2 linked regions of the Arabidopsis thaliana genome follow. The protein of the gene in region 1 interacts with the protein of each later gene in a pairwise test. Each region holds a gene or a part of one and is shown in the gene's direction. Other genes may lie near its edges.

Region 1 (7,813 bases):
GGGTACCATCCTAAGCACAATAGCTGTGTCCTTTCTATTTGCATAAAAGTTATATTCTTAGGATCCAAAGATGAAAGCGAACTCTCATACAAATACAATGCTCCAAGAAAAAAAGAAAAAAGAAAAAAAAAACAATGCTCCAAGAAAAAGATATTTATGAAGAAAAAATTATTTTTCATATTAAACCTAGATTGAAGAACGAGCTAATGACGCATATGTATAGTTCATATACGCATGACATTTTGTTTTGTTTTCAACCCTAAATAATACGTACGTATAACGTTTGAGATTATGTAATTAATATTGGTGAATCGTAATTATATATAGATAATTAATGGTTGATTATATATTACAGATGCACATGCATATATAAATTTTCTTCATTTTAGGTATTGGTTTTATATCTTGAAATTAAAGTGGTGGTCGTTTTCTATTTGGATAATGCGTGATGCATATATTGCATTTCAGACTTTATATGAAGATGGTCATATCTTCAAAAGTATCAATTCATCAAATCAGCTTTGATCTTAAGCTGTTTTACTTTTATTTTAATTTCCTTTCGTTAAATTTTAATCTGTAAACAATTTATTGCAATTCTCGTAATCCCAAATTCTGAACTTCTACACCCAGATAATCCTTATAATATGTGTCTTAATCGCTATTATGCACGTGTGTAGTGTAGTTTAAGCTCATACACAATTTTGTGTTCAAAAAAAAAACCTCATATAAAATTTAGTTTGTGCAGACGACTTGAAAGTGAAGTAATAATATTTTTGGACATAGAATAACTAGATAGACTCTTGACAATGATTTTCAAATGGTAGATAGACTTTTGTGACCAAAATAAGATACTGAAAGGCGATGTTGATGTCTCATGATTAGAACAAATAAAAAGAAGAGAACTATATTTTCCATGTAATGAAATAAGTGAAATACAAAAAACACTTAAGATCTACTATAGTAACCAAAAACGCTTTCAAAACCATTAAAATAATATTTTATTTTTATCGGCAACACAAGTACAAATGTAAATCGTGGGCTTAAACAAAAAGTGAATCCGTGTTTACCTATTTGAAGACTATAAATGTGAAATAAACACTCGTAAGTTATAGTTTGATGGATAACACGTACGACTCGTACTTTTGTTTGTGTCTTACGTACCGATAATGAGATCTCGAGCATGTAGCCTGTAGTCTCTACACACATATCTTCTCATATTAATTTTTTTCTGTTATGGACCTTATGGTTATTAGAATAACAAAAGTGTACGAAAGTGAAATATTCTCAATTTTGAATAACAATGCATTGACCCTATGCTCAAACTGTCACAATCAAAGCATTTTTCTATATGAAATCATTTTCATATTTTTTATTAAAAAAAATGTTCGAAGTTGGTTAAACATTGTTTTCGAATTTTATCTGATATCCCTAAATATTTTCTTAAGGCAAATAATATGCTTATTGTCCAAAGACATTTTGTCCAGTAGCATTTTACTTTAGATATCTTCTATTTTCTAATACTTTACTGACCTGGTCGAAATCTTTTTCTCTCCTTTGCGGGAAATCATGAGCCAAGTCAATAAAATTAGCAAACGAGATAAAAGATAGAAAAATGCATATCTAAATTAAAAACATAGAAACTAATTCCACGAATATAGGGCTTAATTTAGGACGATTTTCAGTCAAAAACGTCAAAATCCACGGAACAAGAATTGGGTCAAACTCATTGACCGGTCTAAATAGTTTCCTCCTACGTGAGATCCTTTACCCACGTCAACACCATTATATCTACGTGGGCTTTCCACGTCATGTGAAGAGGAGAATCGAGGGTATCACATTTTTGCATCAAGTCCACGCTGGAATATATTATAAAAATTATGTGAAAATAATTTGTACATACACTGAAACACACATGCATTAGTTTAGTATATACAAATATATACATACACATAAAACCAAAAGTATATATATATATGTATGATTGTTACGTGAAACTCCCATAACCTCTTTTTTTCCAGAAAACTATAAGAATTTGAATTTCTTCTCTGTCCAAACAGAAGAACCTTTGTTCTGTTTTTAATTCAATTACCTCTTTGTTTTTTCAGTTTTTGTTGTTTTTTCCTCCCAATATTTGAATTTCTTCCATGGATTTTCTTGTTCATCATACATCACTCATTCCAATATTATTCCACAAATCATCCTTGAAGCCTCGTTCATTAATTTTCTTGCTATAATTCATATTTTCTCGGGAATTTTCTTTATTTTCCCAGAAAGTTTTCGCATTAACATTGGAGATATACAAAGAACACAAACATGTTGCAAGACATGATCTCGTCTCACTCTCACGATCAGCTTTCCATCGTAATTCTCTTCTCATTATTGCTTTCATTTTTATTCATGCAATGCGTAGATGTTTTTGTCTTTGAAATTTTGCTTACATGTATAGATCATATAAACTCGAGTCTAATCTTATAAACTGATTAATTTTTATTCCGTAGTCTTTTATTCGGCAACTACCCTATAATTTCAGCTAGTTTTTCTTTTTTGGTGTAACGTCATTTTCTTCTACTTATATTCCATTTGATCTTCTTATAAATTGCTTCATTCTTTTCGCTTTTCTTTCTTTGTTATTCTCTCCGCACTTCAATTTGTCCTTCCATGCGATTTTTTTTTGAACAATCATTATCATAATTCTCATTGGCATACGATTATTACTTATAAACCAATAGAAAATCGTCACATGATATGGAACAATATTGTTCTACAAAATAACTGTAACCATAATTCACTATATCTATCGTATTTTAGTATAGATTTTTATTCTCATCAAACGAAAAATGCTAGATTTAATCTCTCACCTTGGATTTTATGCAAAATCTACATATTACGTGAATTTCACTAGGAGCATTGTTTGTTATCATGATGGGTTTGTATATGATCATGATCATAATGGGTTTCACACATGTTCTGATATTTTATGAAGTGCCCTTTACTTTTTCTTTGTGGGAAAAAAATCTGGATGTTGGTTCATACCAGGCAATTTTAAATTATTTTGTCAATACGAAAAGGAAATACCAGAATCAGAAAACTTTCCGTTTATAGAAACTCCACTCTTCTTTACTTTATCTTTTTAGCTATTGGAAGTAATTGGAACACTTCTTCTTAACATGTCACATAAAAGAACAGATGCATTTAATCTCTCTTGTGTTGTCCTCAACAAATATTGATAACAAACAAACATTGGATTTGATCAAGACACCAAAATCTTTGGAGTGTTTGGATGTCGAAAAACAGAATCAAAACATCTTACAGATTCTTAACATAGTTAAGCCAGAACAAAATTACTTAAGTATAAATAAATTTCTCTTAAGATTTAAGAACTAATATCTTGTAGCTTCTTATGATTTCACCAGTTCTAATTTCTTGTGACTCAAGCCAAAACCTTTGTTACCTTTTTTTGATGCTTGGCTTTAACGTAATCTCTTCAAAAGATCTTGGTTCATTTACTTTCCATGCTCGATCTAATCTTTGAAACTAACTATTGTTTTTATTATCTTAACAGGATGATATCACGAGCCCTCTTAGTGCTCAGATCTTCGATTTCTGCGATCCACAACTCTTTCAAGAAACCTTTAATCAATCCTCTGAAGTCACCTCTACTTCAAACATTCTTGAGAAATCCGGAAGCTTCCATTCCAACACTAACACCACCACAACAACTGAGAACAGTAACAACAACAACAACAACAAGAACACAAACCTTCAAGACGATGAAGATGACAACAACAACACGGATCTGTCCATAATCTTTGATTCACAAGAAGATTTCGAAAACGATATAACGGCTTCAATCGATTTCTCATCATCTTCACTGCAATATCCAGTCATCGATCATCTCCTCACGGCAATAAGCCAAGACCAGTTTGATTTCTCATCAGGTCTCCAAGTTATTCATCAGCCTCCTAACATTTCATACTCTGGAGATCCTCTGTCTCTATCGGCGATTTCCTCTCTAGCTCCTCCTCCCTTACAATCAGGGGTTTTCGAAGAAGATTGTCTTTCTTCAGTCCCAAGTTACAATCTTGGTTTGAACCCTTCTTGCTCTTTCTTCCGTTCGTCCGGTTTACCGGCGTATATGAGTACCGGTTTATTATCTGCTGAAAGTAATCTCGGTTATCTTCCCGGGAATATTCATGTGGGATCAGAAATCAATAAGCCACATGATCCACTGATGGACTTTCAAGCTGATAATGGTGGTTTTTTTTGTCCGGATTCCATCAAACGTATGTTTAATCCAGAAGATCTCCAGGTAATTGAGTTTTTGTTACAAATATTTTCCGGTTAACGTTTGGTTATCTTTAAGAACCGGTATGGAGCTAAGATTTCCGGTCACAAGACCGGGTTGGTATTCTGATGTGATGCTAACCGGTTTAATTTTGTTGAAGAAGGCACTTGGTGGTGGCGCCGAGAACCAGAGCCACTTGGTGACACCTCAAGCTCATCCAGCATTAGGACCGGTCGATATAAACGGTTTAGAAGACTCAACGTTGAACAAAGTTGGAAAACTCTCCCCTGAGCAAAGGAAAGAGAAGATTCGTAGGTACATGAAGAAGAGGAACGAAAGGAATTTCAACAAGAAAATCAAGGTTCGGTTTTTATTAAACCAAACCGGACTTAACCGTTGTTAAATGTTGTCCCAATGATTTTTTTGGGGGGTTGTAGTATGCGTGTAGGAAAACATTGGCAGATAGTCGACCAAGAGTTAGAGGAAGATTTGCAAAGAATGATGAATTTGGTGAGCCAAATAGACAAGCTTTTTCAAGCCATCATGATGATGAAGATGAAGACGATGTAAGAAAACCGGGTTATTTTAACTCGATTTATATGAATTTATGTGAAAACTAACTAAGCCGATTGGGTTTACAGATGGGAGTGAAGGATGAGGAACAATTGGTAGATTCTTCAGACATTTTTGCACACATTAGTGGAGCAAATTCCTTCAAGTGCAACTACCCAATCCAATCTTGGATTTGAGTTCCAAGTGCAACACCACATATACCTCATGTTTTAACATGAATCTTATAATAGTTACACAAATAGTATTGCTATAGAGTTATGACTTGTATACTTAGTTTTGTCATGCCCCCAACAAGTTCTGTGACTTCTGTCAAAAAAATAAATAATCTAACTCGTATTGAAAATAAATAATGAATAATGGGTTTAGGCAGGTTTGGATGAATAAATCAGTAGTGAGAATAAGGTTGTAATTATGTTACCTAGCAATTTGGAAATTTTGTAGATACTATGATATGTGATGTCTTGTATTTGATAAGTTGAGTTGAATTTTTTATCACCTGAACACTCTATATATATAATCGTCATATGAGTTATTATTTTGCTTCTCAAATCATTCAGATGTTCTATGCATACAAAATGAATAGACCGGTCAAATTGTCATGTCTAACACCTGGTTAGAAGATCTAATTAGTAATTAGATAATAACTATTTGATCCAAAAAAAAGGATAGTAGTAACTATTTTTAAGAAAAAGATGAAATAATTGGGCTTTAATTTGTTAGTATCAAAATGTTGGACTGGGCCAACAGAGTGTTACAGATCAATTATATAATTAAGGCCTCCCTTGTAGGCTACCATTTAAGATTAATGTAAAGCTTAAACGATTGACAACTTGATGCATGCGCAATAAATGATGATCGTACCATAATTTCATGGCCATATATAGTTGCTAAACTGAAAGAAGAACAAAAAGGTTTGTAGTAACTTTGTAATGAAATAATTCGATATTTTATTATGTTGAATAGTTCTTTTTGTTCGTTTCTGAAAAGTGAAAACCCATTTGCTAATTTTTTTTAACTTCTAAGTTCTAACCGAGGACTGTTAAAATATAAATGGCGACTAAGTCAATAACTTCGAACCAAACGTATCAACGGCAAATATTAAAATATAGTGATTTTGACTTTAGAGATGAATTATGGTATTGAAATGTCACCATCAAATTTATGAAATCACTATAGATTTTTATGTTATATAAAACTATATATATTCAAGAGTTTAACTATGCCATTTGACTTATAAACACGATAAATACAGTTTTATAATCTTACGGTCGAATAAATGCAAAGTGATTTCTTTTTTTCTTTTTTGACAGCGCAAAGTGATTTCATTGTTTGGTTCCTTAATTTATCGTATAATCGAAGTGTTCAGAGCAAACAAAACTTATCCTAAAAGTCCAATGAGTTAAAAATTTCATCATGGCTATAATTACTCTTTTGAAAATTAAAACATCCGATCTTGATCTATATAGATGATAGACTTACACAACTTGATCACGACACAAGTCTTATCAACTTCGAGTCTATTTTATAACTTATTTTCCAGAACATCTACACGTGTGTCAAAAATCAAAAATATCGATAGATATGATTTTCGACCAGACACACTAACGAACTATAAAATCCAAGAAATAAGACTAAATCACATGCATGAAGAAACATGTATTCTGGTTGATGCTTCACATTTCCTTTTTAAAAAGGTTAATGAGATTAGTGCAAACAAATGGACCGGATTTGGTGGAGGAGAATCTTAGAGTATACAAACCAGAGCATCAATTTTATAATACGTACGGTAGGTCGACTGAATTTACACGTATATTTAAAGTCATATAGATATATATTTACAAACATATAATCTTCTAGATGAATAATTGAACTGACATTTACGATCTTCAAGAAGAATAATACACATATGTAGTGGAACTAAATTTCACTATACTATTTTATCGAAATTTACGTATTTGAATTTTGAAATTTAAATAAAAATGTAAGTGAAGGTGCAACCAAATGGTCGAGTCAACCATGTGCCACAAGCTCACGGTCCGGAATGAGACAAAACAGTTTTGTAATTTTGTTGGGTTGGTCCATATATTCTCAATATTCGTAGATAAAATATCAATATATGTTCTAAAGCCTCCAAATGTCAAATATTTTAATCATGTATAAAAAAGGCAAAATATGTATTGTAGGGTTTGTTTTAAAACTTTCAAACAATATATAGGTTTAATTTAACCTTTGCCATTATTGTATACGGAGCTACCTACTTTGGAAGTCGACCGTTTTCTAACAAATCACTCAATATCTATCTAATTAAAAACCTACCATTTTTATAACACAATCATACAATTTAAAAACCTCTTATTTTCTGGTTGAATGTTTATATTAGTCAAGTCAGTATTGCATGTTTAGTACAAATTTGTTAAAATTTAACAACAATCAAATTGCAAAACTAACTAGAGAATTTAGAAACTTTGTTGAAACTCGTATAATAAATACATGCTTGAAATTTAAGAAATTTCTTCTTTTGATGTGTAACTAAATCTTATTACAATTAATACTACTTTTGTCTTTTTTTCTTATTCGTATCTTTTTTTTTTCCTTAAATAATGGCCTAACTCGATCCGGTCTTGGTAAACATCATGGACACTTGTATAAATTTCAATATCAAAATTGGTCATCCAAAATTTTCTAATGATCGGGCTAATTTCGTTAGCAAAAGAGTTATATACTAATCAACTACATATAAGAACGTCCAAATCAAAACCTAAGCACATGAATTTGAATCGATCCACTACATCATCCATACAATTAACATAAAAAAGTTCTAAAAAATCAATAATTGAAAAAAGAAGATCTAATGAAAAAAAAAACTTTAATGAAAATAAAATAAATTAATAAAGAATAAAGAAAGAAAATAGTGAAAATAGAAAAAGTAAATAGTAGAAGAAAATGGGGGAGTTA
Region 2 (7,066 bases), on another chromosome or scaffold:
CACCAATAATAAATGTTGAAACTATTGAGGTTGAGATTGTATCGTGGTGATATTGTTGAGTCATTTGTTGGGAACTGGTACGGAGAGAGTACGGTACCACCAATTAATACATACAGTTTATTGGATTTTCCATTTATCAAGAAAGATCCATTTTGTTTTAATTTTTGTTTGTTTGTTTGTTTGTTAAAGCAAATATGTTTGTACTGCAATGTTTGTTTACTTGCCTTAGCCTTTACTTTAGGCTTGCATGTCTGAATATGTCTATTCATGTGTAAGTGAAACATCTTGACAATCCTAAAACCTATCGTAAAATATAATGAACATGGTCAATCCACTCGACATCAATTAGTCATAAAAGCCTATAAAATTGATGCATTTCTAGTTTAGTGTATCATTTTCAAAATTCAAAAGAGGAGATTACATTCGAGTAAGTGTCAAATATGAAATAAGCTACGTGTTAAAACTCAAAAGTTAAAATTGAAAGAAGCCACGATCGAGATGCTTCTTCTCGTCATGCAAACGCATGTTTTGGCTGGAAAGCTGACAAAATCCGCCCATATTCTTTCTCGCTCTCTTTATCGAACTGACATCTTGGAGAGTTTTGCTTAAGACCAAAGTGTGAAATCTAAAGACGAAGACAACAAATTAAAGTACCATATCCCATGATTAATCTTAAGCTTTGTGAGAAAGTCAAGGCTGTCCACAAAGAACATGTCATCTCCCATCTTTTCTTACATACGATCATGTGCTCGTTGCGTGTCCTAAAGTTTTATATGCTTTATTTATTTATTTTTATATTTTCCCCCTTTTTCAATTGTTTATACTTTATATCAATCTTTAGCATATGTTCGTATAAATTATGTTGGTATATATTAAAGTTACGTAAGACAAAATTTATTAGAATTCGAAATCCTAACTCGACAAAACGAGTTAAATTGAGCTTTATTTGATTTTCTATATTCTAAAATAGAATGACTCAAAGACAAATTGTGTATATATGTATATATATAATTTTAATAACACAAGTTGTATGTGGAGAAAACGATGTAATTATAAATTTGGATCATATTTTCGATATAGTATGAATTTTTTTTTAATTTTTTTTAAAGATTACAAAATTTAGGAAGATAAATACACGAGTGAGTCTGACGAGAGAAAACGCGGTTTGGATTTGGGTAGCAAAAGAGACAGAGTGAGAACAGCTGTAATTTGAAGTCACTCATCAATTTAGCATCATCACCTTCTCCCACACTCTTCTGACTTCACTCTTCGCTATTTTCATTTACTATTTCCTATTGACATTTTCTTCGTAAGTATTCCATATTACTAACAAAATTCATGTTGTTTAATGATGTAAGAAAACAAGATGCTAAAAGGCGATATCGTTCTTCTTGAATAGCATTTGTATGTATTATGTAACATGTTACGTTATGGTGTATAATTAAAGATTACCAAATGATTATAATACTATCAAACGTATTTATACTAATTACTGTTTTGTACGACATCTCCATTTTGTTAACGCGTAAGTTACTCACAATTCACAAAGCGATGAGCCACGATGTTAAAATGTTAAATTCAATAGCAAGTTGTCATATAGCTAGGTTTAAAACCAGATTTTTCTTTAGACTTTGATGATACACGTAACAAATCTAATAAAAAGATTAGATGGATCAATATTCTAGTAATAAAAAATATTACAAGTAATAACATTTTCGTGCACGTATGTTTGCAGGTTTTACAGTCACTTTTTCATAAAAATATATAAACATGATACAGTATATATATATTTGGTGTATAACTACAAATATACACACTAGTTTAATCGGTAAAGAATAAACATAGACAACCAATAATTAAACCATAAATGGGGCCACTTTCTTGGAAAGTTCGTATTACGAGTTAACGCGTTAAAACGCAGCTGTAATTCGTAATCTCCTGATAGTGATGATAGGTACGTATATAGTCAATATATAAAAGAAAATTGATATCTCACAACCTAAAAAAATACTATAGGATATTTTAGCATCACTCCTCGATTTGCTCATCAACTGGCGTCCGTGTGTATAATATATATACTCTCCTGGTTAATTAATTCCTAGCAAAATTGACTCCAATCGGTAATTTATTTTAGTTTGATAGTTTAGTTCACTCGGTTTATATTTTGGACAAATTCTAGAAAGAATCTAACACGTTAATAAACTTGGAGAGAATAAATCTAATTGTAAAATGGACCCTTGTGAAATTAATGTTTTTTGTCATTTAAATTGTAGAATAAAAAAATATACATTTTTCTTTGTAACAAGAACATGCAATTGATAAAAATTTACGTGATCGCATAATTAATTGTTGTTTTGTGGTTCCTCAATAAAAAAAGCCAATCAAAATCATTATACGTTTATGTATTTTTCCTCTAAATACCAAGAATATTAGTTATACATGATTTATTTTTTATAAGAAAATGCAAAAATAGCAAAAGGTTAAGATGAGGCCATGTTCAGGTTCATTGTTCGAACTTCGAACAATTGGGCAAAGCCTTAACATGCATCCATATTCGAATAAATAACTAAGCTCCAAAGATTTATGTTCACTAGTTTCTTTTTTTTTCTTTTTTTAATTTGAATGGAACAAAAATGTATTAATGCCAATTGCTAGGATAAAGGAAAAATTAGAAGAAAAACACCTGTCATGCACCACAATGTCACATTCATACACAAGAAACCATACTATATTTCATTTGACCCTATTTTAGATTTATATCAATAAATAATATTTCATCTCTTCCTCTCCCATACCCCTCCCAAATCAATCCATCTCTATATATAATCTTCTCAGCTCACACTAATCCTCATCAAAAAATCTCTATCCATCCACAACAACAACAAAAACTCAAGAACAATATCTCCACTTGATCACTACCACATTGTCCAATCACTCTACAAAGCCTGTACGTACACAACAACATTACCATGGTGAAACAAGAACGCAAGATCCAAACCAGCAGCACAAAAAAGGAAATGCCTTTGTCATCATCACCATCTTCTTCTTCTTCTTCATCTTCTTCCTCGTCTTCGTCTTCGTGTAAGAACAAGAACAAGAAGAGTAAGATTAAGAAGTACAAAGGAGTGAGGATGAGAAGTTGGGGATCATGGGTCTCTGAGATTAGGGCACCAAATCAAAAGACAAGGATTTGGTTAGGTTCTTACTCAACAGCTGAAGCAGCTGCTAGAGCTTACGATGTTGCACTCTTATGTCTCAAAGGCCCTCAAGCCAATCTCAACTTCCCTACTTCTTCTTCTTCTCATCATCTTCTTGATAATCTCTTAGATGAAAATACCCTTTTGTCCCCCAAATCCATCCAAAGAGTAGCTGCTCAAGCTGCCAACTCATTTAACCATTTTGCCCCTACTTCATCAGCCGTCTCGTCACCGTCCGATCATGATCATCACCATGATGATGGGATGCAATCTTTGATGGGATCTTTTGTGGACAATCATGTGTCTTTGATGGATTCAACATCTTCATGGTATGATGATCATAATGGGATGTTCTTGTTTGATAATGGAGCTCCATTCAATTACTCTCCTCAACTAAACTCGACGACGATGCTCGATGAATACTTCTACGAAGATGCTGACATTCCGCTTTGGAGTTTCAATTAATCCGACGGTCCATAATACATACTTTAATTAGTTTTCTAAATCATTTTTTAAATTCTTTTTTATATATGTAACATATATTTACCCTCGTCGTAATTATTCATTTCCAAGTTGTTTGTTGCTTGGAGAGAATTGACGACGGATACGATTATATAATATAATTGTAAGTTTTTATATGTAGCAAACTCGGTACAATTCGGATTTAATAGGGATCTAGGAAGTTCACATGAACAAGCGACTCTTTTTTTTGTCACTTCTTTGACTTTTTCATGTGAGGTTTCTTTTCATCAATTTTTTTTAACAATGTGTGAAAATATTTCTGTATTGTAATGATATATTTCGCACAATAGTTTTGTGAAATAAATCTGGCGCTATATATGATTTTGTATCATTTTCTCCAACTCGTTTACTTGTATATATGTGCCAAGTTGCTACCAATATGTGATGATTTTGCAATCCAACACATTATCTTTGTTTTTTATTCTTATTTTGGTAAGTAGTAAAGCCGATGATGTATATAATTGACAATCATTTTTTTTTCACTAATTGACAACCATCATTGGTTAGAAGTTAGAACACATCATTGACATTGACATTGGTAAAGTTCTTAAGATGAATATATATGTAAATTAATGTATAATTAAATCTGAACTACTTTTTCCCGAGGTCTCTTCATAATTCATAATTTGTTTGATTAAATACTATTATGTACTATACTTTTGCACAAAAATTAAAGTATAGTACTATACTCAGAGGAATCTTACTGTTTCATGTGCCGTGGAAAAGTTTGGTATAGCAAATAATGCACACATTGCTTGGGGACAAAGTTCATATCTTTGAAACTTGGAACTTAAAAAACCATTTGTTTTGATTTAATTTATTTTCCTTTTTTGGGAAAGAATCCCATGGAGACAGAACTGCAGTCAAGGGATATAAATAACTGCAATAGAGTTAGAGTTATGTAGGATTCACTAATGAGTACTGTAAACTGATTTTTCTATTCATATTCAGAGTACTCTAACTCATTCAAACCATGAAACTTACTTGAAACCATCACCAAAAGGTAGGAGATCTCTAGCTTGCTTTATTTTGTAGCTTTGGTTCTATCAATAGATCAATGTATACAAGATTGTTTAACGAATATATGATTTAACATGTAAGAGAGTGACCGCAAATTGTGATATTAGTCAAATTATGTTCACAACCTTTTACAAACAGATGCCATGTGGAAAAAGAGTAGACCACAAAAAAAAAATTGTAGTGTAGATGAGAGATGTGGTTGACGTAGTTGATTGTCTAAGGCCATCAAAACCATATACTTTTGTTCCACCTTTTAACTGAGTGATGATTAGAGTGCACACAAAACGTTTTACTCTGATTAAAAAGTACAATATTGTGACTTGTGAGTTTGTAACTGTCCTCTTACGACCAGAGCCATCCTCCACTCTAGAAGTGAAAACTAATAAGCTTGCTCACTCGGTCAAACATAATTGTTTCCTAGTGTGTGAACGTATACGGTTCAATGCTATTTGTTGGCTGGCTTAGATGAACTTGGTCTAATAGTTAAGTATTGTGATCATATCCTATGAATCTACATCATACTAACACCGCATATATAAAAAGAAAAAATGATGTGATCAGTGATCATGTGAGTAAAGTATGATATATTGGTCTTAGTGTGACAAAAATCTTGGAGACGTTATCGTCTGTATAATAGAAAACAGGACATAGTTAAATGGTTTGTTCACAATTTTGAGGTCCCAACTAAACATAAGATGGGACCCCATACTTAAGAAGATAAAGTGATTTGATAAGACATTCATATGATTCATATCATATCACATCAACATTAAATCTGATTGTGTAGAGTGTTATAGCATTTCTTTTGTCAAAGGGAACATCTAAACTTCAATATTTGGGATAAAACCTTGAAGTCACATGACATGTCTCCTGCTCAACGCTCTTATTTTAGTCGTTTCTATTTCTTTAGTGATTTAGGATTCGGCGTCCATGGGCTTTGGTTTTGGGGCCATTATCGTTTATTTTTTGTCTAGCTCATTATCGATTCTGGCCCATCCATTGCTAAATAAAAAAAGAACAGAAAAAATCATTAAAAGTTGCTGTCTGCTGTAAGTTCTTTTTCTAGAATTTCTTTCGTTGCAAATAGTGAAATGCATTGGGCTTCAAAAAGAGGCTCGGCATAATTCGGTTCATTTAAGGCTTTATAAAGTGGATTGAACTCTTTAAGTTCAATTTCTGAATATAAGAAGCAATGGTGATTGATGGCTACAGTGAAATATGCAATTTTTAATAAGTTCATTGGATTAAAAGAATTTTAGTAGACGATGATGTCAAGTTAAGAAAAAAGGTTTTAGTAAATAGGAAAACTTGTAATGGATTTTCTTCCTTCTTCTAAGTGGTAGATTCCAAACTGACAACCTATTGATCCCCAAAAATTTTGTGGAAGAGTCTTGTTTGCTCGCCAAAAAAAAAAGCCCTAATAATCTCCCTTGACAAAATGTGTGGAAGAATCTATATATTTTTGATATAGATTTACTCATTTACAAGCCAAATGAAAAAAAAAAAAGTTTACAATAAAAATGAATAATTATGGGCATGCTTTAGATAATAATATAAGATTAAATAGAAGTCAATATAGTCCACAAGATTAGGTTTAGTTACTTTTTTGCACCACTGCCAAAAAGTTGTATCCGATCGTGTCCTTGCACGACATATATTTTCTACTTGTACTTATCTTGACTCTGAAAATTGAAAAATATTGGCGGCGGTGACAGAGTTATCATTTACTTGTCATGTTGGATAAAAGAATCCAATTACTACTAGCATTTTAATTTTATCATAGGCCCAGATAACATAAGTTTTGGTCGCTTTCAAATATCAGTAGCCTACCAAACATGTGACGCCAAGCTTTACAGGCCAAACACTTTCTTCTGTTTCTTGTATCGGAGAAGAGAAGAGAGACTTTTGTAGCAAAGAATTGTTTGCTAGTAAACTTTTTCTATACATGTATAATTGAGTTAAGAGTTAAGGTCATATGTGCTTTGTCTTTTAGTCTTTTTCCCAATCCCATATGGCCATATATACAATTATGTACCTCAAGAAAGTTTTCTTTATAAGATTTAAAATAAAGGTATCTCTACAATCTCTTTAACATGTGTGATCGGATGTTAAATCATAATGTTAAATAAAACTGTAAACGTTTGGCTGAAAAAAGAAAGTTTAATTATCCTAGTTAAGGAAATATGTATTGTTTGCAATAATTTCTCCTAGTTAGCATTCTAAATGTGGATGTAGTAATAAAAACTTAATTAGGTACAAATTATGTTGAAAAAGTCATTTTAAAACAATTACACTTTTAATCATAAAGGTAAACACTTACAGTTTGT

Evidence for each region.
Region 2: the proteins of AT2G33350 (region 1) and DREB26 interact in a two-hybrid assay, tested with the Arabidopsis thaliana proteins (one large-scale study listed by BioGRID).

Annotation. Positions count from the first base shown.
Region 1 is NC_003071.7:14,131,803-14,139,615, forward strand, and holds AT2G33350 (CCT motif family protein), read left to right. Parts: upstream 1-3,339; 5' UTR 3,340-3,400; coding exon 3,401-3,475; intron 3,476-3,562; coding exon 3,563-4,309; intron 4,310-4,445; coding exon of another isoform or gene 4,446-4,448; coding exon 4,449-4,646; coding exon of another isoform or gene 4,647-4,688; exon of another isoform or gene 4,689-4,722; coding exon 4,723-4,851; intron 4,852-4,926; coding exon 4,927-5,034; 3' UTR 5,035-5,359; downstream 5,360-7,813.
Region 2 is NC_003070.9:7,693,686-7,700,751, forward strand, and holds DREB26 (Integrase-type DNA-binding superfamily protein), read left to right. Parts: upstream 1-2,741; 5' UTR 2,742-2,969; coding exon 2,970-3,662; 3' UTR 3,663-4,146; downstream 4,147-7,066. UniProt on the Arabidopsis thaliana protein: Transcriptional activator involved in the regulation of plant development and tolerance to abiotic stresses. Involved in salt and osmotic stress response pathways. May be regulated by the stress-related genes RD29A, RD22, DREB1A or P5CS during stress response.